3 linked regions of the Lytechinus pictus genome follow. The protein of the gene in region 2 binds, or shares a complex with, the protein of the main gene of each other region. Links are inferred from orthologs where the notes say so. Each region holds a gene or a part of one and is shown on either strand. Other genes may lie near its edges.

Region 1 (8,038 bases), on a different chromosome or scaffold from region 2:
TTGAAAAAATATTAAGTTTTGGTGGCCCGAATCGGGCAACCAATAATTTTCAGAATAGCGCAATTTTTCTCCCCATTTTGCACGCATTTATCAACTTTCTACAGTTCAAATTGCAAGCCAGTTCGTCATGCGCCCTTTTTGTTGATCTACACACAAACACACACACAAAATTGGCCTACCGCTATAGCATTAAGTAGCTTTTATCCAGCCGGCCGCGCCGGCCGGCTGGCGTGAGCTTTGCATGCTTCAAGCAGCTGTGAGTCAGCAGTCTATTCAGACTCAGGGAGCTGCAATACGAAATGTTGCAGCTAAGAAATCTTCCACAGAACTGTGAAAATCCAAGTCAAAGTCACATTTTACACCAATGAAAAGCCCTTCTACAGACCTTTTTGCCAAAATCTGGTGTATCCTGATTATTTTCAAGCATTTAAAAGAGGAATCATGACCTCTCTTTTGACTCAAAAAGACCGATTTCCAAATGAAAATAATGCACATAAAAACACATAGGTGAGTACATCACAGTCCCACGTGTTCATTTGAATTGTATGTATGTTGTTACTTGGTTTCTTTCGAAGCTGTGCCTTTTCCGGTCTTTTCTAGCCAAAAATAAACAGACAGTTACTTTCTTTCTTGTTTATAAATGACTTCTTAAACAACTCTTGAGAAAGTAAATACTTTGGGAAGGCATTTCATTAATATGAAATGTGAATTTTTCCAACATTTTGGCAAATATAGGGAAGGAATTTTCTCGCACTTTTTTTTTGCCGTTTTATTATTTTCTTTCATTTTTTTGACAGTGGTTAAAAAACCATTTAAACCCATTTATTAATTTTCAATGTTTTTCTTTATATTTTTCGGGCCACCAAACTTTAATATCGGGCCACCAAAAAAAATTATTTGAAGGTTTTGGTGGCCCGAACGGGCCACCACCAAAAAAAGTTAATGTGGAGCCTTGTCTACTGTAACCGTGGGAAATCCTAGCCTCAGAGAGGAATGATCCCCAGGCCCAGGCTTCATGCGGGAGTAAGCCTACGTATAGTAGATGAAGTTTTACTCCCCAGAAGCCTCCAGGCTAGCTCTTCTCAAAGATATATTTTCTCTGAAAAGATTCTTCGTCTCGAACACACATTTTTAATTGCTGAAAAATCTACCAATCCGTCGTTATTTCTTTGGAATGTCTCCTTTTGTAAAACATGATGTTCTTGCGGGATGCAGCAAGAAATAATTATTGCAGACGGACAAATATAGCATGCAACAATAAGTTACAATAGCCCCCCACCTCTTGTAAATTTTATTGTATTTTCCAAGGAAGTTAAGAGAACACAAAGATAAGAGAATTTTCAGAATACCTTGTAGTTGTAACTCGATATTTTATCTTGCGCACAGACATAATATGCGCCGATTATATATACACGCATCAATATATCTCTGACATCATACGCGCTCAGTGAAAGTTACAAGAAAAGTTAAGACAATTTTCGGAAAACGGATTTTAATTTTTATTGTAACTCTGTCTCTAGTCTAAAAAAGATAGGCTACAACTAGTATAGTGAGTGATTGTATTACCGACCGGCCTTGTATTACCGAACGCGCGCATCATACGCATCAGAAAAAAATTCATACATTCAAAATTTCGCAACATTCTTCCAAAGAGAACTTGAATAGAAAGATGATGAAAAATGGTCAAAAACTCATTTTCAAAGTCTTATTTCTCTTAATATTCTAAAAACAATAAAATTTGGTCAAAATAACTCATCAGTGATTTTGTTGTTTTCTCAACTTTTCCCATAGAAAACACGCGTTCGGTAATACGATACCTTTTTCAAGTGACCAAAATATTTCACATGCGAAGAGGGGTCCGATTGGAAGCAAAAATCGTAAAAAGGAAAAACGATTTCGGCAAAAATTTTACATATTTATATTTTGTAGGTAATTGTGTATTTATGGTGAAAGTTTGGTGAATTTTACGAGAATAATGTGCTTGATATGATTGAATTCATGAAAAGTGTTCGGTAATACGATCCACTACCATACAAGTTAACTTATACAAGAATATTATTTCTCTTACTTAGACTTAAGACAATTTTCAGAATACGGCCCGGGAAATGTGATCGAGAGAATTGCTATCAGCTATGACATTTGCAAACAATTACTGGGAGGAAAATTTGCTGGAAGTCTGCAAGTGCGAAACTGCATTTGCGCCGGTCGAGCTAAGCCTAAGGCTAAGTTAGGCCTCACACAGTCAGTGCAATTTTGCCAGCCCTGGACCCGCGCAGCCGCTAGCCGCGTGCTAACCCAGAGAGCTCCAGCCCGCGTAGCGGGCTGGAGCCCAGACGCGCAGTGTACAAACGGGCATTCAGGTGAGAGTACCGTGAAGTTTGGTCAATATCATTTACATAATACATAATTTAAACAGAAATTAAGCACTTACCACGATTGTATGGATGATAGTCTAACGAGTGGCAGTTTCCTGACATCGAGGCACAGACTGGAACCTCAAAAAACGATCAGTTCTGTCGCGGTGGCTCTCCTTCTTTCAAAATTCATAGCAAAATGGCCGTTCGAGAGGGTGTAGGGCGCATGCGCGAATTTGACAAAGTCTATATGCGCTAGTGCTATACTAGCCTCGGTCTCGATCGGCCATTTTGTGTTGAATTCTGAAAGAGGAGAGCTACCGCGACAGAACTGATCGTTTTTTGAGGTTCCAGTCTGTGCCTCGATGTCAGGAAACTGCCACTCGTTAGACTATCATCCATACAATCGTGGTAAGTGCTTAATTTCTGTTTAAATTATGTATTATGTAAATGATATTGACCAAACTTCACGGTACTCTCACCTGAATGCCCGTTTGTACACTGCGCGTCTGGGCTCCAGCCCGCTACGCGGGCTGGAGCTCTCTGGGTTAGCCGCGTGCCAACTTGGCCTAATCCCTGGGGGCCTCAGCAAAGCTGCCCTGCTCGAGCGTGGGCCTGAATTGCAATTGCGCGATCACAGTTGAGTAGGGTCTGCGCGGTGGTAGTTATTGGAATTTTTAATCTATTCTAATCTAAACCTACATTACATCCAAATTGTGAAACATTTCAACTCTCTATACCTACTTTCACAGTACATACTTACCGCAGACAGTGATTTACAACGTGAAAAATAGTCCAGCTCTTTCGGTCGGCATACTCGGCCTCCCGTCCATATGCTATGGTCTCCTCAGCGAGAAAACATTCAGGGGGAAAAAAATCGAAATAAAATGCGACCTTTCTTGACAAAAATATAAATAAAATATAACCCAGAAGGAAAAACCAGTAAGACCAGTAAGAATTTTTACTGGTTTCCAGTATAATTTTACTGGTTTCCAGTATATTTTTACTGGGCCAGTTGATTTTTAACTGGACCAGTAAAAATCAACTGGAGACCAGTTCCAACAATTGCATTCCAGTTGAAACAAAGTAGTAATACCAGTTAAATTGTTTTTCATCAAACTGGTGTTACTGGTCCAATAAATGGTTTCCAGTAGATTTTTACTGGTTTTCAGTATATGTTTACTGGACCAGTTGATTTTTAACTGGACCAGTAAGAATCAACTGGAGACCAGTTCAAACAATTGCATTCCAGTTGAAGCAAAGTAGTAATACCAGTTTAATTGTTTTTCATCAAACTGGTGTTACTGGTCCAATAAATGACTTTATTTCAAGTTAGATCATTTGACGAATTATGGAAAATGAATCTTGCAATTCAGAGAAAGTTATTATCGTTATCATTTATCATTGTTATCATCATTCTTATAATTATCATTATCATTATTATTATTATTATGATCATTGTTATCATTCTTAATACTGTTATCATTGTTATTGATATTGTAATTATTATTAATATTATCATACTTATCAAGTATTAACATTATCATTAGAATAATTATTTCCTTTTGGCTTTAATTATGATTAAGATCAAAGCAAGATATATTCCCGTCATATAGTCAACTGGTCTAAAGTAATGCATTGTTTGAAATTGAACTGGTCAAGACCAGTAATACCAGTAATTCTGATGATGCTGATCACATGGTTTACCTCATTTGCATATTTCCTATTTTTAACAGAAAAATCAGGATTTAGAATGGAATATCCTTGCAATAGCACTCTTTGTTGTTTAAAAACTTTCTTAAAAAGTGTGTGAACTAATTCACAATGAAAATGTGTAATTTCATATATCAGCAGAAAGATTAATTTACTAACCATCTTTTCCATCACATTTCACTGACCAGGGTATATAACAAACCAAATGCATGTAATAAATTGATCCAGTAAGACCAGTACGAAGACCAGTTCGACCAGTTCGAGGACCAGTCAGACCAGTAGAAAATACCAATAAAGACCAGCTTGAATTGGATACCAGTATGAAGACCAGTAACAATCACCAGAAACAAGACCAGTATAAACTTCCAGTAATTCAAGACCAGTTTAATTTTTAACTGGACCAGTATGACCAGTATGACCAGTTAGACCAGTAAACCGATGTTCCAATTTCCAGAGTTACCAGTTAAAATTCTACTGGTCTAACTGGTCCAGTGGAACTGGTTTTTCCTTCTGGGAAGGTGGTGAGTACGGGTGAGTATCTCCGGAAAATTTGGTTGGTATGTTGTTACAAAAATATATCATTAGGCCTTGAAGCTCCCAATTATTTCTTCTACATTCAATCAAGTAGGCTACTAGTACTAGCTTGTGTGGGATATTGTTATTCAATTCTGACAAGTTAAATATTAATAGATGTGCAAGCTGCCCCCCCCCCCCCCTAGTGGAGTTCACCGGGAAAATAAAACAAACGGGAAAAAGACAAAAAAGGGGAGAAATAAGGAAAGGGCAAGGAAGTGAAAATAAAGAGGAACAGGGGGAAAGGAAAGGGAAAGGGGAAAAGGAAAGGGGAAAAGGAAATTAGGGAAAGGGAAAATAAAACTAAGGAAAAAAAATAAAAAGGGAAAACGGAAAGAAAACGAGGAAAAGAAGAAAAGAAGAACATGTGTGAAAGATAAAAAGCGGGAAATGGAGGTAGAATGGAATGAGCCAAAATCTAAATTGGAAAATAAAGAAAAGGGACAAGATAAAACTACCGGGATGCCGAGGATTGACGATATAATTATCATCATAAACTTGCTAAATCTCCAAAGCTACCGGGGGCTCTGTCCAAGATCCCGTGCAATGGGGGCTCTTCATCTGTAACCTGTAACCTTTATAAGGGCTCTATACAGCATTATATACGGGCAATACGGCCCCTGTATGAACCCTTCCTGCATTGAACTTTGCGTTTAAGCACTGGCGTACCGGGGGTTCCACAGCCAATGGGAAATAAAAGAAAATAAAGGAGGCAGCGAAATGAGACGAATGAAAAAAAATATACGACATGATATTTGCTATGATGTAAAAATCTATCACATAATTAGAATTTCATTTCAAATAAAAGCCATTTTTCTTTCTGGCTCGCTTCGCTCGCTGGCGACTGTACAAATTTTCCCACATTTGCTATGGTGTGTCCCCTCAAAATATTTACGCAACTGCATTGAATTTATGTGTTGTGTGAAAGCTATATAGATAAACACGCAATATGATTAAAATTAGTGGCCATCTGTAAGGTTTAAAATGGCTTTAATATCAAGAGGTTCCGGGTCTCCGCCCCGGATCCCACCCACGTAGTTGCTCTGTTGTATGGATGAGTTTGGACCATGGCCCCCAAAAGTTCTACAACCAAAACAAACAGCAAAAAGGGAGGAAAGACAGAAAAGCAAAGGAAAAGTGTATTATATTTTTCTGAATATCACGTCAAAATCTAGTGTTAGATTCTCATGAAAAGGTGATTTTTTTTTTATCTCGCTCGCTCGGTACTTTAATATATTAAGCTACTATAATTGCCACACGCGCCATACTGGGCCCCCTTTGAGCATATAGAGCTTCGCCCTGATGCGCACAATCATAACAAAATTCCTATTCACCGTGGCGTACAAAAAAGGGAGAAGGGAGAAATATGATATTATCTTTTTTAACATTATGTAAAATATCTATCACAAAATTTGATTTTTGTTATAAAAATGTCAAAATTTCGCTCGCTCGCATTTTTATTTTTTGCCCGATACACCATATCACCCCCTCAAAATTTTTGCCTCATGCCTGTTCCATGATATGACCGGGAAATTTTTGGCTCTTGCCCCCCCCCCCCCCCCCCCCCCCCCACCTGGCCACCAACCCCTGTTACGCCCCTGACTGTTTAGTGTCAAAAATATAAAGCTGAATTGTCGATCGTCTTTAAGAAATTTCCCGCTTTCGTTAGCGCAGTTTGACCCAGCATCATCACAAGAAAGGTCAATTCTGGCACCTGCTTGTGTAGGCTTCCACTGCGAGAGCAAATTTAATGGCGTTTCAAAACTCAACTGTGTTCAATATCGCATTCGTATTGCCGAAGGTCATAAAATCTGAGCTGATCGCGTTTACAAACACAAAGTCCTTTTCAACGTTTAAATTTTCCACTGAATCGTGATTTGAAAGACGTTTACTTTTATAAACGGGGATGGAGGAAACATCGAACACACCCTTTGTTTTCTCACTATATCCGCGTTTTGTAATTACTTTTTCAATCATGATTCATTCTGCCGTTTGAATTTGGAAACCGACATATTGTACACACCCTTACTATCTTACGGTGTCACGTCTTCAAACAAAAACCCATTTTAAACAGATCAGAGCAATTATTTCTTTATAAATGAAAACAATATTCCTATGCATGGTGATCGATAAAAAGATAATTCTAAGATCGTTATAAATTATGATATCATAAGCTAAAACATGCATGTCAGCAGTCTCACGATCCCATCTTCAATTATGGAAAATGTGCTGTTTAAATATATGATTTGTATTTTTTGTGTTCAATTCACAAGTTCAGGACTGGGATAATTATATATACATACATATCAGGGGCCGCGGAAGCCGGGGGGGGGGGGGCTTCAGCCCCCCTCCTTTTTTTCCAAAATCGTGTACAAAAACGTAAAAATTACCATATGATTGTGATTGTTTGCATGGTAAGCCCCCACTTTGATTTTATATATATATATATATATATATATATATATATTTTTTTTTTTTTTTTATCTTAGTGTAATCCTTCTGTTCTGTACCCTTTGTTACACATTATTTACTTTGTTGTTATTACGATTTTATTTGTATGGTTTTGTTCTATTTTGTTTGTTTCAATGCATTATAGGCCTGATGAAGGCCCCACTGGCCGAAAGCTCGCAATAAAAGAGATACTTGGAAGCTACGTCTAGCGTTAATGCTTGATTTATTTACGCCTATATATATATATATATATATATATATATATATATATATATATATATATATATATATAAATGTGTAAAGTTATACATGTACAACAGCTTTGGCAACTCTTTTATTTAAATATTGTAAAGAAATGGATGAAGAGAACAATGGTAGGCGTAGCTTAAATCAAGGTTCCCCAGAGCTATCTACCCTTTGGAAAAATTGGTGATGCCGAAAAAATGTCTCTGCCGGGAATCGAACCCGGGCCCCCAGCTTTGAACGCCGGTGCCTTAACCACTAGACCACAGAGACGGGTTAGTGGCTAGGGCGACCCCGATCCGACTGACCGTCAGATAGACAGATTTTCGACACTATACCAATTATAATTTCCTTTGTCGGGTGAAGGTGGGTTTCGAGCAATGACAAGCCGCCATGCTTCAGCTGGATCAAAGCTATTGCTTTGATACAGTACACGGGTTCGATTCCCGGCAGAGACATTTTTTCGGCATCACCAATTTTTCCAAAGGGTAGATAGCTCTGGGGAACCTTGATTTAAGCTACGCCTACCATTGTTCTCTTCATCCATTTCTTTACAATATATATATATATATATATATATATATATATATATATGTATATGTATATATATATCTCTAAAAACATTTTCATGTCTAAAGAAGATAGCTTAGCGAGCTAATAGCCTATGTAGGCTATCTTTATTCAATATTAAGCTGCATTTGGGT
Region 2 (7,818 bases):
TCACCACGAATTGAAATCAATTCAATATTTTTGTTTGTTTCATAATTATTTGTCCATCCGATAGCATCTCAAGTGATTCCAGCGTTCAGATATCATCTTGCTGATGTATTAGAGTTCGACAAATATGTATATTTGAACGACATAAATGTTGAACAGATAGATGACTTTATTCACATGCTGAAGGAGCAAGCATCATTGATGAGGTCATCCAGTGAATCTTCGGCAATGACGGGGGCTGAGGAGGAGATGGAGGAGGATCAGGAGCTAGAGGAGGAGCAGGAGCAGCAGCAGCAACTAGAGGAGGATAAGGGAGCGGAGGATGAGCAGAAGGAGGAGGATAAGGGACAGGAGGAGGAGCATCAGCAGAAGGAGGAGGAAAGGGAGAGGAGGAACAGCAGCAGCAACAGGAAGGGGAGGATAAGGGAGAGGAGGAGCAGCATCAGCAGGAGGATAAGAGAGAGGAGGAGGAGCAGCAGCAGCAGCAGAAGGAGGATAAGGAGAAGCAGCAGCAGAAGGAGGATAAGGGAGGTGAGGAGGAGGAGAAGCAGCAGAAGGAGGATAAGGAGAAGCAGCAGCAGGAGGAGGATAGGGGAGAGGAGGAGGAGCAGCAGAAGGAGGATAAGGGAGAGGAGGAGGAGCAGGAGCAGCAGAAGGAGGAGGAGGGAGAGGAGGAGCAGCAGCAGAAGGGGGATAAGAGAGAGGAGGAGGAGCAGCAGGAGGATAAGGGAGAGGAGGAGCAGCAGCAGGAGGATAAGGGAGCGGAGGAGGAGCAGCAGCAGGAGGAGGATAAGGAGAAGCAGCAGCAGGCGGAGGATAAGGGAGAGGAGGAGGAGCAGCAGCAGCAGGAGGATAAGGGAGAGGAGGAGCAGCAGCAGCAGAAGGAGGATAAGGGAGAGGATAAGGAGAAGCAGCAGCAAGAGGGGGATAAGGGAGAGGAGGAGCAGCAGCAGCAGGAGGATAAGGGAGAGGAGGAGCAGCAGCAGCAGAAGGAGGATAAGGGAGAGGATAAGGAGAAGCAGCAGCAGGAGGAGGATAAGGGAGAGGGGAAGGAGGAGGAGCTGCAGCAGCAGCAACTGGAAGAGGAGGAGCAGCTGCAGCAGCAGCAGGGGAAAGAGGATAAGGGAGAAGATGATGTGGAGGAGGAGATAAAGGAGCAGCAGCAACAGCAACAGGGGGAGGAGGCAGAGGATAAGAAAGAGGTGGAGGAGCATCAACAGCAGCAGGATAAGGGAGAGGAGGAGGAGGAGCAGCAGCAGGAGGATAAGGGGGAGGAGGAGCAGCAGAAGGAGGATAAGGAGAAGCAGCAGCAAGAGGAGGATAAGGGAGAGGAGGAGCAGCAGCAGCAGCAGAAGGAGGATAAGGGAGAGGATAAGGAGAAACAGCAGCAGGAGGAGGATAAGGGAGAGGGGAAGGAGGAGGAGGAGCAGCAGCAGCAGCAACAACAGGAAGAGGAGGAGCAGCTGCAGCAGCAGCAGCAGGGGAAAGAGGATAAGGGAGAAGATGATGATGAGGAGGAGATAAAGGAGCAGCAGCAGCAGCAACAGGGTGAGGAGGAGGAGGAGGATAAGAAAGAGGTGGAGGAGCAGCAACAGCAGCAGGATAAGAGAGAGGAGGAGGAGCAGCAGCAGCAAAAGGAGGATAAGGAGAAGCAGCAACAGAAGGAGGATAAGGGAGGTGAGGAGGAGGAGAAGCAGCAGAAGGAGGATAAGGATAAGCAGCAGCAGGAGGAGGATAAGGGAGATGAGGAGGAGCAGCAGCAGCAGAAGGAGGATAAGGGAGAGGAGGAGGAGGAGCAGCTGAAGGAGGAGGAGGGAGAGGAGGAGCAGCAGCAGAAGGGGGATAAGGGAGAGGAGGAGGAGGAGGAGGAGCAGCAGGAGGATAAGGGAGAGGAGGAGCAGCAGCAGGAGGATAAGGGAGCGGAGGAGGAGCAGCAGCAGGAGGAGGATAAGGAGAAGCAGCAGCAGAAGGAGGATAAGGGAGGTGAGGAGGAGGAGGAGAAGCAGCAGAAGGAGGATAAGGAGAAGCAGCAGGAGGAGGAGGATAGGGGAGAGGAGAAGCAGCAGCAGCAGAAGGAGGATAAGGGAGAGGAGGAGGAGGAGCAGCAGAAGGAGGAGGAGGGAGAGGAGGAGCAGCAGCAGAAGGGGGATAAGGGAGAGGAGGAGCAGCAGCAGCAGAAGGAGGATAAGGAGAAGCAGCAGCAGCAGAAGGAGGATAAGGAGAAGCAGCAGCAAGAGGAGGATAAAGGAGAGGAGGAGCAGCAGCAGCAGAAGGAGGATAAGGAGAAGCAGCAGCAGGAGGAGGATAAGGGAGAGGGGAAGGAGGAGGAGGAGCAGCAGCAGCAACAGGAAGAGGAGGAGCAGCTGCAGCAGCAGCAGGGGAAAGAGGATAAGGGAGAAGATGATGAGGAGGAGGAGATAAAGGAGCAGCAGCAGCAGCAGCAACAACAGGGTGAGGAGGAGGAGGATAAGAAAGAGGTGGAGGAGCAGCAACAGCAGCAGGATAAGGGAGAGGAAGATGAGGAGGAGGAGCAACAACAGAATAAAAGAGAGGAGGAGAAGGAGGAGCAGCATCAGCAGCAAGAGCAACAGGAGGAGGAGGAGGCGGATGAAGAGGAAGAGAAGGAGGAGGAGGAGGAGGAGGAGGATGATATGAACGACTCATCTGCCGTAGAGGAACAATGTGAAGTGAGAAAGCTGGGAGAGGTACAGGTGAAAGAGGAAGTCAAGCGGGGTCAAACCGAGGAGGTTGAGATGCTGGAAGGGGACAATCCTAAGGGGCAGAATCACTGTGAAGATAAGAAGCATTGCGAACTTCAACTTGTGGAGGAAGATATGGACAGGGATAGAGAAAATGACTTGGTCGAGGAACATCATACTAAGAGGAGGAAAAAATGGTGGCATAAATTACTATGCTGTTTCTGAAACTGTCCTGCAAAAAGCCACTTACGAGGGAAAGGGAGGGGGGATCAAACAGACAATATCAAGACCATCGTATGTTATCGAAAACTTCAGCATTCTGGCAAGAGCAAAATTATTCCCGGGCTCTTATCTTACCCAGCACCAAATCAAGACTGTTGCTATTCAATTATATATTTATGCCTTTATTTATCATGCACAATGTGATAATATTGTTATGTAATTAAATTGAAAATAAATGTAAAGTGGAAATCATTAGCCAATGTGAAAGCCTCTTCTTTTTTTAACTGAGAAGAGACGAAAGAGAGAAGGAAGGAAGGAAGGTGGGAAGGAAGGAAGAAATGAAGGAAGGAAGGAAGAAAGGAAGGAAGGAAGAAATTGAGGAAGGAAGGAAAGAAGGAAGAAAGAAAGAAAATGAATAAAGAAAGAAAAAAAGAGAGAGAGAGAAAGAAAGAAAGAAAGAAAGAAAGAAAGAAAGAAAGAAAGAAAGAAAGAAAGAAAGAAAGAAAGAAAGAAAGAAAGAAAGAAAGAAAGAAAGAAAGAAAGAAAAAAGAAAGAAAGAAAAAGAAGGAAGGAAGAAAGAAAGAACGAAAAAATAATAAGGAAGGGGAAGAGCAGGAAGAGGGCGATAGGAAGGGGATCTCTTTTCCGCCTTAGCTAATTATTCCGATCCCTGACCCAGTATATGCTCTAAAATAGTATATGCAATTCGCATGAATGTATTTTTTTAAATATAGGCCCTATTCTGGTGGAACAATAGAAGAAATAGAATTACAAGTTTAGGGGGTGTATTTAACAAAAACGACGTACACTTCTGAATAGCAAAAGAACAAGATGTCAAAAAGGAGAAAAATAAACATAACCAGAGTAAGAGAATTACCTATCGATAAGATTCCAAATTAGGTAGCATTTTAAATTAATATTCTCTAGAATATTTCATTTTCATTTTGCCAGGTATATTGATGATGTAAATGACAAATAGAATCATAGAGATCGTTATAAATATAATACGTAATAAGACAAAGTGAACAAATGAAACATATTACAAAACTACATAAATTACATTATATGGATCGAACCTATAGATGCAGTGTATGTGTGTAACAAAAATAAAGCTAAAAGCATGAATAATAACATGATTTTTTTTTCTTCTTGATAAGAGGGCTTAGGGGATACTAACATCTATAAGCCGGTGTGATCTAACAATTAAGAGCTGGCAAGAGTACTATATTGTTTTCATAGAATAGGCCCTATTAGCTTTAAGAATAAAATATGAGTTTGATTCGTATGACCAATAGTTAATTATGGAACAATTAAACGGCTTTATTTTAAACACACTTACATAATGGTGAAATGGGCAATCTTCGCTGGCCAGCAATATATTACGAAATTATTTTCCCCAATATACAGTATATCATTTTCACACAATAAAGAGTACCACTTATTGGGGAAATTTTATTAGCCTTTATATAACCTCATCTTATTTCCATTAAGTTTTAAAAGGGGGTATTATTATTATTTTTATTTGTTTGTGTTCTCAGAGTTCAGATCAAAGGTGCAGAGAATCTGAATATAGATTTTTTTCTGTGACATGTTAGTTGCCACATAGAGACTCGAATGCGAATGGGGATGAATAGACTATAGGGATGAATGACGAGTGCTCAATATTGCGTGAAAATTTTGTGTCATTCGAGACGCTGTAACTAAGACTAAGTTCAGGACCATGTTCAACAGTCTGAAATTCGACCAAGTATTTATCTTTGATTGTAAGTAATAATTAAATTACTAATGAATTTGTGGCAGACTTTGTGATGAAAATGGTATACAAATGGGCATGTCAGAAATTTATTTAGATCCCCAGAAAATGTTACTCCCTTCTCTTCTAATGTTCACTAACACAAATGTTTATGAGTGGGACTGGGCTAAAAAAAAAGCAATGGTGTTTCTAAGCAAATACTACCAACAAGCACTAGCAGCTCATCAACCTTGTGACAGACACACTGAGAGTATACCGAGGAGATCATTTGGGTGTGGAAACGACCCACAACAACAACAACATGGTGTTTCTAGACAGCTGGCAGCTGTCTGTTTAATGTTTCGAGGAGTTTTTAAACATTTTTATATTTTTTTTAATTTCTCCTCGATCAGACGGCTCGCTATCGTGCAGCCACCATTAGGGGGTTAACAATGCAAAATCCTCCCGACGGGGCTCATCGATTTTTGTCTTTATTTCATAAAAATATTTAAAATGAACTGTACCAACATGACCAAAGTAAAGATAATAATATTCCGTTTTGGCCTGAATTGCACCAAAAATAAACAAAAAAAGGGGAAAAAACAGTGACTTACTTCGGCTGTCGTGCAACTTCACTTCCCTGTTTTATCCGAACTTAATACATGTATGGCCATTGAGTCCCTGTATATACCGATCGAGCTAGAATTTCGGTCTCTCTATTTGGTGAGTGGAGCCAACGGAGTTCAGCGGAACGACTAACATAACAGAGACCGTAGACTAGTAGATGATGATGATGTAGCTTTAGTTTAGGCCTACAAGTACAACCGAAATCAGGAAGGAACATTTCTGACACTCCGACTCCTTTCTTCAGCTAATTTTAAGAGAGTAATGATTTTAAAGCAATTTCATATAGAGGTCTAGATCTAGATTTAGAATCTGCTTCTGCATGCTATTTGCCCAAATGTAAAATTGTTTTCAATGTTTCTTTAATTTAATTTGAATCTTACGTACATACAAGTAAACTTCATTTCCTGTGACAATCGGTCACTTGAGGAATAAAAAGTGAAACCACATGCTTTAGCAAATGACCAAATATTGGAAAAGACTGTTTTATGTTGTATAAGTATAAAAAGATTAATCTAATAACATTATTATTTTCTTTGATTGTTTTGTTTTTTACTACAGAGCCTGCACTGTGGGATTTAAATGGAAATTTGAATTGTTTGGATGCATCTCGGACTGGAAGAAGTATGGAGGGGACTGCTGTACTCAAAATCTTCTTCCCTGAAAGCTTGTTGAATGCAAGGAGTGGGTTGTGCCTTGGAACCACACACCCGGACAAACGGTGCATGTGTGTTTTAGCCATCGTCCATCCATCTGAAGATGATCATGCTCCAGAACTGGAGATTAATCTCCCTGTCATCGGTATATATGAGAACGTGAGCAGAGACCCGAGACCAGATACAGACGAGAAGAGTCGTCACATCGGCTGCATCGTTGAAATGACACAAAAACATCACAATGAGATTCCGGCTTGTAGGATCGTCCGATCACCTTGGCAACATGTAGGCGGTCCAGGGAACATTCGCATTCTCTTCGTACTGTTCAATGATTATCATATACTAAACGCCCAGTACGTCTGTTTAGACGATAGCAAGCGGGGTGCAGATTCAGCGAAGAATGATTCTCATGGATCCACGCCTTCCATGTTGAAGGAACATAAGAAACCCATAACCCACCAATGTGAGGCAGTGGACTTCTTATTTTCAGCTGTCCGTCACTTTTCTAAGAATGCACTTCCGGCGTCTCCTCCCAATATACCCATGTCATGTTTACAAAGAAACTCCAGTAGTAAAGGATTTCGTATATGCAGTCAAATCTGTGAGATTTGTTTTATCTTGCCAGTCTTATTCATGAGATCTCTGTTTTACTGCTTGGACAGTATCAAGGAAACAAGGTGATTACCTGCAATACACAACATGAAATGGTAGTTGAATCTCTATTTCATTTTTGTATTTTCCTGTTTCTTCTTCGAGATAGTGCTGTGCTGTAGTATAAAAATGTTAGAATTAGTGATGTCACAGTATTTTGTTACAGAAAGTGAAAAAAATCCCTGTTCTATAGTAGGTAGGTATCAGTAAGTTAGAGGCAAGCACTATAAACGTGATCTGAAAAAGCTTGGGCTATTTTGAGCTGTTGACAACCAGTTGTGGGATGAATACAGCTGTGATGTCACATTTTTTTTCTGTTGGCTTGATTTATGATAAGTTCTGCCTCTGTAAACGTCCAACAGGGTGTTGCAAGAAAATATTTTCAATCAATTGCAAATATTATGTTGCAATCAATAGCTGTTGCAATTTTAAAATTAATAGATCAATTTCAACTGTAGCAAATTGTTTCAAGAAGCAGTTTAGCAATCAATCACAAATCTACAATTAATTACAAGACATATGATTGATTTAGGGACCAACAATAGACTTGCAATCAATCACAAGTTTCTTGCAACGCCCCACAAGATTGCTTGTCATGTTTTTGATAATTGCCATTTTCTTCAGGGTACATGTAACCTGCCTTATATTTGCCTAGTTAATATTTTTGAAATTCATTTTAGAACACACATGTGTGGTCATAACTTTTTCAGATAACATGCTTGGTATATTATAATGATAATGTACAGACGGTAAAGATGATAAAGATTTGCTTACAAAAGGAATCACTTTGGTCACTTATTCCACATGATAGTAAGTAAGATATAGTAAGAAAGGGGGGGGGGGGACAAAAATGAAAAAGTGAAAAAGTCAAAGTCGTAAACATTCATGTATAATATCAAGTTACTGAGTACAAGTTTAATAAAAATAATTGAAAGGAACGTTTACTGTAAAACAGAAAGTTGATTCTTAAGATGGTTTGGAATAGTACTCCAAAGATGAGGACCGCTATAAAATACAGTATTCTTTGAAAAATTAGTTCTGACTTAAGGAATATGGTATTCTACAGCATCGCGTGTAGTATACTTATGTACATTACAATTAAGGACAAATTTAGATGCTATCAGAGTAGGTAAAATGCCTTTAGACAACATAAACATAAATATGGCAACATTCAATTTATTTGTCATATTTGTCAGCTTAGAAAATATTGGCAAGGAGTGGGCATTATACGGTGAAT
Region 3 (7,985 bases), on a different chromosome or scaffold from region 2:
ACTGGCACCAATGAATTTGTCCACTCTTTACCATTTTGATGTTTCAAAAGAACAGCCAAATAGTAAACAACCTTGTTCTAGAACATGATAAAAGAGAGTGAGAGAGAGAGAGAGAGAGAGCTTTTAGAATTAATTTACACACATGTCAGTATTGTTGTCAAAAGAGAGCCAGTATCAAATATTAAATAAACAAATAACAACTACAGGCGCGGACCGGCTACAGTCAGACTATTATGGGACGCAAATTTGTCCGAAAAGCAAAAAAAACACACAAAAAACACAAAAGGTCCTTGTTCCATTGTACAGGGTGCACAATGAAGGAATTGTATGGGGTCCACCATTGTATTTTCAAATTTTACGGGGTGCGCCCGCAGCTGCTGCCACCCCCCCTCCTGGATCTGTGCCTGAAAAACTGTAATACTTCATGTCTCTTTTTATTTGTTATCTTGGAAATAAAACCTGAACTTGGGCAGTATTTTTCACTTGCAATTTGAAGAAAGTTACCACTTGACATACAATGTAAAGATAGGTGAGTCTGCCTAAGTCTTCTTGGGACCACAGACATAGTCCTGCATTGCTGTACAAATGCAAAACTATCAAAATGATTAATTGCACAGGTTACACAACACTTTATAAGGAGGGATTGTTATCATGGCACAAGAGTCAGTAACCCTTGGTAGGAGGGAAATCGCTGATGATGTTTAAGTGATATAACACTGTCCATCGATTCTCAAGTCAGCCTGGCTTTAAAAACACTCAAGTGATAAATAAGAAATCACTCACCATTGTTACAGCTTCATGGATAACAATGTCTTGAACTGCCCTGAAAGGAATAAACTGGGTGACTCTGCGTCCTGTGACATACTCCGAAGATATTTGCAACCCAAGGGAAGATATCAGAAGCAGTGTTTCTACAAATCAAGGTGGAAACAATACAGTACATCAAAATATTCAAAAGATAGTCAATTCAATGAGTGAGGATTACAAAATGAGATTATCAAGAACAAAGTGTACTTAAACACTCTAGAAAAATGATCTTAAAAAATAGGCCTAGAGTTTACAAATATGGAATTAAATTAAAATGTTATTTCTAATGAAGATTACAGAAATAAAAAAATTAAAAATACAGTAAAAATTGAGAATCGAAACCAAAAAAATATTCACAATGTATTATAATTGGTAATTTTATGTATGTTTCATTTTGTTTGATTTTAATCCATTCAGTCTGGTAAAATATATAGTTCTGTTCATTTCTGTATCACCTCAGTTCAGATTTCATGAGGTATTATTGGTACAATTTATCTGATTACCCTATGTTGTATGCAGGTTCTTCTCATGTCTCCCTCAGTCCTTTCCTATTAGGCCTACACACCAACACACATAACTTCTCCGAATTCTAATTTCAATCCATTTTATTTTGTCTTCTGAGTTCTTGCATTGTTTGCTGCTCTTTAGTTGTAGCTTTTATCACTCTATTTATGATTCACCAGTTTTATTACTTCTTAAGTTTTACTTTGTCATTCAGCTCCCCACATCAATGAACTGTTACTTTTAGAAAAAAATCATCACATGTAAGGTCAAGGACTTGTTAGTTTTACCTTTTGAAACTGAAGAATGAATGTACAGAAAGAACAGAACACTAATCATGATAGCGAGAACTGCATTCCAGAACTGTAAAAGAAAATTGGATTTAAAATAATCTTATTTGGGTAAAAGATTTAATAAATCATAACATTCATGAAAATCATTCCATGGAAATTATTCATTCTATACAGTAATCATATCTATTTAACTAAACATGATCTTCTCATCAAGCTTTCCAAATTTGACTCACAATATAGGCTAAAGGTATTATTAGTCTCAAACACTGTCATTTCAGTAAAGTTTCTATTTGCGACAAAATTTCGGTGTTTCATAATCAAAATGAAAGCTTCAACAAAAGCGATAGAGGCTGATGAGTGACAATGCCAAGAGCGACCCGGATCCCGAAACCAGGAAATTTGGAAAGTGAACAAGACCATGGAAGTAGAAAGACAAGACCCTACATTTCGGCTGACCATATTTTGCACCTAACTTCATCATTTTCATTTTACTTTCCATTTTTCATTTCATTTATGAAATGTTTCATACGACGTACACATATTACATTGTAGAATCTATTTCACATTCAATTAATCACAACTTTTACCAACAAAGTTAATACATCACTTTAATTTAGGGGGAGCTGGAGGGGACATAGCCATAGGCTGTTACTAAATTAGTGATGTAGAAAGAGCTAGATAATTTAGATTATCATCATGCAAATCACATTCAAATGCATGGTGATTCTTTTTAAACAAATTATGACTATATTTCATCTTTTTATTTAACCATTAACAGACATGACAGAGCCGCCTCGATTTACTTTCATTTTTGCGTTCATAAAAATTAAAATATAAACATTTTATTCAACAATAAACAAGCCCTGTCTTAATATACTCACCAAAACCGTGAGTCCTACTGCTGACATAAAGAAGAAAATATGCAATAGACCCCCTATATGACAACTTGGTTTTGACTGTTTTGCAGTCACAGATATTTCACAGACAAGCTGGTCATCTTTCCATTTCACACCTCCTTCATGTCCTTGGCCTTTCCTCAACAAGCCCTGGCCTAATAATTGCACATCCTCCTTCACATTTTGGGCATGGTAGAAATCATTCTTCAAATCTGTATCCATCATTATGTTAAAGGGCCGTCATCACCGCAAATTGACGTCGGATGAAACACAATTTGATCTAACTTAGAATTTAGATCTAGACAAATTTGAAGCCAGCACTAACTTCGTATGTGAATGTATATGCAAGTCGTCTGTCTTATTTTATACAAATAATGCATGCAGCCGAGTGCGTTAGTGGAAATGCAGAGCACGCGAGGTTTCTTTAGATAGGAGTCGCACTGTGCACGAGCCGCTTGCGGCGAGTGCCCAGTGTGCTCCATCTGAAGAAACCGAGCTTTCTCTGCATTTACTTTTACGCACGACAGAGCAAGTGCATTATTTGTTTTATAAAATAGCAACACAGAAACAATTTTTTTAAAAGTTACAGTACAGTTTTGTTGGACTTCTACCGCACTGGTTTGCTCGAGCGTGCAATGTCAATTTTCGTTGCACACCTTTTGCACTACCGTGCAGTGCACAAAAAAAGTTGGATGTCATGTGACGCGTATTGACCAATCGCGATGCTTGAAATAATACAGCTATTTTATAAACACAGATATCAGTACGTGGGATGGGACTGAACAAAATACTTCCGCTATGCTGCCCTCTGTAGTTGTTTACTTGCACCCCAGGCAACGGGAAACTCTTCGCGACCTACCGTACTCCAAAGTCCAAGTCCAACACGGTTTTTTTAAAACAGGATCCAGAGAAATTTGGCCAAAATGTCTGCCAGCACGGAAATGCCAGGAGTGAATGCTGCACTCCAGCGTCTTCAAGAATTAGGTTATTATTTAATTTGGATTACATTTGGGTTTGATGGGTTTTTATTTATTGCCCGGCCCGGCCCCTGCGGTTATACTATAGGCTATAGCCTACGCCGTATCGTACCATCGAATGGAACCCGGTACCATACCGGGAATTCACGTACACACACCCCGAAGCTCTGGCGGCCGGGCCCGGTCATGCCTAGACAGCTGGCAGCCGTCTGTTTCGAGGAGTTTTTTTTATTTACATTTAATTTTTTTTTTTAATTTCTCCTCGTACACAGACGGCTCGCTATCGTGCAGCCACCATTAGGGGGTTAACAATGCAATGCAAAATCCCCCCGACGGGGCTCATCGATTTTTTTCTTTATTTCATAAAAATATAGGGCCTAGCCCTAGGGCTAGGCCTAGAATAAGATAAGAACTGTAGGCCTAGCCCTAGGCCTAACTTAACTAGACCTACCAAAATAAAGATGATGATTGATTAATTATTCCGTTTTGGCCTGAAATGCACAAAAACGGGGGAAAAAACATTGACTTTGGCTGTCGTGCAACTTCACTTTCCTGTTTTATCCGAACTTAATAGTAATACATAAACATATGGCCATTGAGTCCCCTGTACAGATCGAGCTAGAACTTCGTCTTCGGTCTCTGTATTTTGGTGAGTGGAGCCAACGGAGTTCAGCGGAACAACCAACATAACAGAGACCGAAGCTTTTGACTGTTCTAGGTCATGCCTAACCCAGGGAGCTCCGGGCCAGAGCTCCCTCAGGCCTGTTGCATGAAAGGGTCTTTCGTAGAACCGTTCTACGTAAGAACTAAGAGTAAGAACGAGATATCGCTCAACTGTTTCACAAAGCCGATTTGGGCGATACGAAGAATGGTCCTTGACCTTAGAAAGACACCTCCAGACATGTCCTACGTAGGCATGATCGACTTTGCACACCGCCCGCCACCGTCAGCATTGAGAGAAAATGCGTTTACGGCAAGCCACACTGACATATCACATTTAAACATTTTTGGGGGTCATTCGATTGCACTCTGATGCATTTTATCTGGGATGGCGCCAAGTTATTTTTATGGGGGCTGTCATTAATTTCATGGCAAAACGGATGTCATTTTAACTTCTCCGGGGTAATTTAGGCCCATAAGGGGCCTCATATATAATATTTAAAAAAAATGTGTTTTCTTTTATTTTCTCACATTTTCTCCCTCTTTTCCCCACACCTTTTCCATTTTTTATTCAACCAAACTTGAAATATCGAAATGGCCGGCAATCTCTCTGACCCCTCATGCTTTATCATAAGATAAACAACATGAAAACAAATTTTTTTAAAAGAAATCATGTATGGTAAAGAAAACATGTTTATATAACGTTCAGGAAAAAACGCGATACAATACTAAGATCAGTAAGATGTTACTAAACATGCTAAATCATTTATCTATTTTCATTTTATTTTCATAATCATTATTATTTCTCACCTCTTTTTTGTACTTCCCTTTCTTTTCTGGTATGACAGGTTCCCCCAAGTCTGTGCAGTCCCCCTTTGTCTGCACATACGCATACCTGCGCGATTCTATTTCTAGTAAAAGAAGATACGCAACAAACACAAGCTATACATATGCAAATGCAATACATAGACAGACATTCATTAAAAAATACGACTCAAAATAGTGGAAAAATAATGAACTTTGGGCATTTGATTTCAATGGTAATTTCATGTGACGGCCTCAAAATGCAGCTGTTGTCATCAAAATCCCTGGATCCCATGCAAAGTGAATGGGTGCGCAGACATGGGGCACCATTTTTTTGTTGAATCTGAAAATGATTGACTGAGGTTTTTCCCGAGAAAATCATATATTTCTTTCAAATTTTTATGAGATTTTTGGCACACTTCCTCATAATAATATAAGGAACGTTATCAACCTAAAGATTTTGTGAAATAAAAAGAAGTTCATGTTAAATCTTAACTCAACTCTTAGGTGTGCAGACTTGGGGACAACCATCATACTCCCCCACCTCCACCAGGAGGCTCCTAGAGAGAAAAAATCACTAACGTGTGCTTATTCTCCACAGAGCCAGGGATTGTGCCCCATTCATGTGCGTATACTGCGGTCAACGTTGCAATTTTCGCCCCGAAGATTTCTACCTTCCCTGTAAAAGATCTAGCCCTAAATTATGCATGGGATACATGTAGAACTTCATTTCCGACATTCAAAGAATGTTGATTTCATTTTTAAGCAAATATTCATTAAAAAAAACCACCAAGAATTATATTTTGAGAAGACGGGGGAAAAACTTGCCAATGTTTACGTAGCCATCTGAAGACAAGACTGGGGATCGGGGAGCACATTATTTACAAGTGATAAAAAGTACATGGATGACGATTTTAATATAAAAACACCTTTCTCTAATTTGTGGTAAATTTTCCAAAGATTATTGGCCAAGAGCAAGAAGCTTAAATACTAATGGCAATGCGAGGTTTGAGTTAAACTTGTAGCTGCCATATGGGAATGGTGACAGAGATTTGCAAGATGGCAGTTTATGTGATGATTGGACCCAGAGTGTTGATGGAAGACAGCCATGATAACTGACATGTATTTGATCTCTAGGTAGATGTATCTTTTTAATTTATTGTGTTATGCTTTTTGCTTACTTTGATAGCTGAACGGATGAAGAGTGAAGAATTTGGCTTCAGAGATAATGATATTACAATGATTGACGGAGTATCAGAAGCTATCAAAGAATTGGTAAGAATTTCATATCAACCTTTGCCAAACCCCCACAATTTTCATAATAAATCTATCATTTGGTGAGGTTTACCTTACGTTTTCTAGGTCAATTTAATTTAATTCTAGGGTTTTGTTGTTCCTGGAGTTTGTTCTTTTCATCATCATTGTAACCTCCATTGTCATACAATTCTTACCACCTTTGTTATCTGATCATTGCCACCATTGTCATCTGATCATCATCATCGTCGTCATCATCATCATATTCATGATTAGTAAGTAATCACCTATATCCAGGGTTGGGCTCAATTACTTTCTTCAATTACAATTGCAATTTCGTAATTGAAGATATGCTAAATTTACAATTACAATTCAATTACTTTCTATAAGTCATAAATCAGATCAATTCATATTTTGTATGTAGCGCCACCCATTTTGTGCACTTCTTTATAGCAATAGCATCTCCTCTTTCCTCCCTATCATGGGAAAGGATACAGTTTCATGCAAGAGAGCACTATATAGCTAAGGGAAAAGAGAAATAAGCAATCCAGAGTAAATTGAATAATAAATTAAGTTATAATGTAATTGAATGTAATTAAAAGTAATTGACAGTAATTTGAGTCAATTACAATTTTTCAATTACAATTACGTTCTCCTAAAAAATTTCAATTACAAATTACTCTACAAATTAAATTGCTCCAAAAATGTAATTAATTACGTAATTCATCAATTACTTTGTAATTGAGCCAAACCCTGCCTATATCACCATTAGGTCACAATGATCATCTAATTGTTGTTCTGCAAACTCATTATATTGCCAGAATAAAGTACCACAAGGAACTAACATTATCCTGTATCTAACCTGCTGTTTACAATCGTTTCAATATTAATGTTAGCGATTGATTGTACCCTTGATTTTTATTTATAGATTGTACATTGTTGTCAATGCACACAATCATAAAGACATTGTTCTGCAATGATTGTTGAGCTTTGTGTTACAGGCCCATAATGGCCATTCTCCCTTACCATTTTATGATCTCCAATTTAGGGTTTAGCAACAAATAAACTATGATTCATGATTCATAGAGTTCTTGTTTTCAAATCAATCATCAAACCCTTGTTTCAATAAAAGATATTAATATACAGCCCAACAAAGTGTAATAGCCATTTAAAATCTAGTATTTGTGTTTGAACATGGGTGATATGAAAAAAATGTGTTTAAATCAAACAGCATTAACTTCCCTTAGGGGTTCAATCATTATGGTATTCTTTGTAGCTAGGTTGATGGCATATTTACATTATTGCAATATGTATTACAAGTGGTTTCTCCACCATCTCACTGTCACCCCCTCATCTCTGCCACTTCTCTCTCTCTCTCTGCTGTCTCTGCCTCTCTGCTTTTGTCCCTTCATCTCTCTGTTTCTCTGTACATCTCTTCTCTCAGTTCCTGTATCTCCCCCTTTATATACCTCCTCTCTCTCTCTCTCCCTCTATTTGTCTCTTTGGCTGTTTCTCTTTCACCCTCTCTCTTCTCTCTTCTCTTTCTCTCTCTCTGTCTCTTATCCTTTTCTAACTCTCACTTCCTCCATTCCCCATACTCTGTGCTCTCTTGATTATTATACCTGTCCCCCTCTTATTTTAATTGATTACAATCAATCATCATGATCCCTGAATGACATTGGCAGAAAATTCATTTATTTTAACCATTCGGGAGCAATATCAAAGGTCCCAATATAAAAAGATGGCATCAAAGGATAATCATCTTTGATATCATATAAATTGCCTCTTAGTCA

What was found. The genes of interacting proteins can lie anywhere in the genome.
Region 1: phosphatidylinositol N-acetylglucosaminyltransferase subunit Q-like (region 2) and phosphatidylinositol N-acetylglucosaminyltransferase subunit C-like share a complex: the UniProt entries of both Homo sapiens proteins name them as parts of the glycosylphosphatidylinositol-N-acetylglucosaminyltransferase (GPI-GnT) complex. The link is inferred for Lytechinus pictus from reciprocal best matches to the Homo sapiens genes PIGQ and PIGC.
Region 3: phosphatidylinositol N-acetylglucosaminyltransferase subunit Q-like (region 2) and phosphatidylinositol N-acetylglucosaminyltransferase subunit H-like share a complex: the UniProt entries of both Homo sapiens proteins name them as parts of the glycosylphosphatidylinositol-N-acetylglucosaminyltransferase (GPI-GnT) complex. The link is inferred for Lytechinus pictus from reciprocal best matches to the Homo sapiens genes PIGQ and PIGH.

What each region holds. Positions count from the first base shown.
Region 1 is NC_087259.1:10,793,773-10,801,810, reverse strand, and holds the start of phosphatidylinositol N-acetylglucosaminyltransferase subunit C-like, read right to left. Parts: upstream 3,202-8,038; 5' UTR 3,118-3,201; intron 1-3,117. UniProt on the Homo sapiens protein: Part of the glycosylphosphatidylinositol-N-acetylglucosaminyltransferase (GPI-GnT) complex that catalyzes the transfer of N-acetylglucosamine from UDP-N-acetylglucosamine to phosphatidylinositol and participates in the first step of GPI biosynthesis.
Region 2 is NC_087254.1:10,567,013-10,574,830, forward strand, and holds the start of phosphatidylinositol N-acetylglucosaminyltransferase subunit Q-like, read left to right. Parts: upstream 1-4,812; 5' UTR 4,813-4,851; coding exon 4,852-4,975; intron 4,976-5,835; coding exon 5,836-6,607; intron 6,608-7,818. Other genes in the region: trichohyalin-like, read left to right, coding at 349-2,921. UniProt on the Homo sapiens protein: Part of the glycosylphosphatidylinositol-N-acetylglucosaminyltransferase (GPI-GnT) complex that catalyzes the transfer of N-acetylglucosamine from UDP-N-acetylglucosamine to phosphatidylinositol and participates in the first step of GPI biosynthesis.
Region 3 is NC_087251.1:13,833,536-13,841,520, reverse strand, and holds the start of phosphatidylinositol N-acetylglucosaminyltransferase subunit H-like, read right to left. Parts: upstream 3,202-7,985; 5' UTR 3,090-3,201; exon of another isoform or gene 2,904-3,089; intron 2,851-2,903; 5' UTR 2,723-2,850; coding exon 2,483-2,722; intron 1,672-2,482; coding exon 1,599-1,671; intron 912-1,598; coding exon 784-911; intron 78-783; coding exon 1-77. Other genes in the region: centromere-associated protein E-like, read left to right, coding at 3,421-3,481, 6,128-6,213. UniProt on the Homo sapiens protein: Part of the glycosylphosphatidylinositol-N-acetylglucosaminyltransferase (GPI-GnT) complex that catalyzes the transfer of N-acetylglucosamine from UDP-N-acetylglucosamine to phosphatidylinositol and participates in the first step of GPI biosynthesis.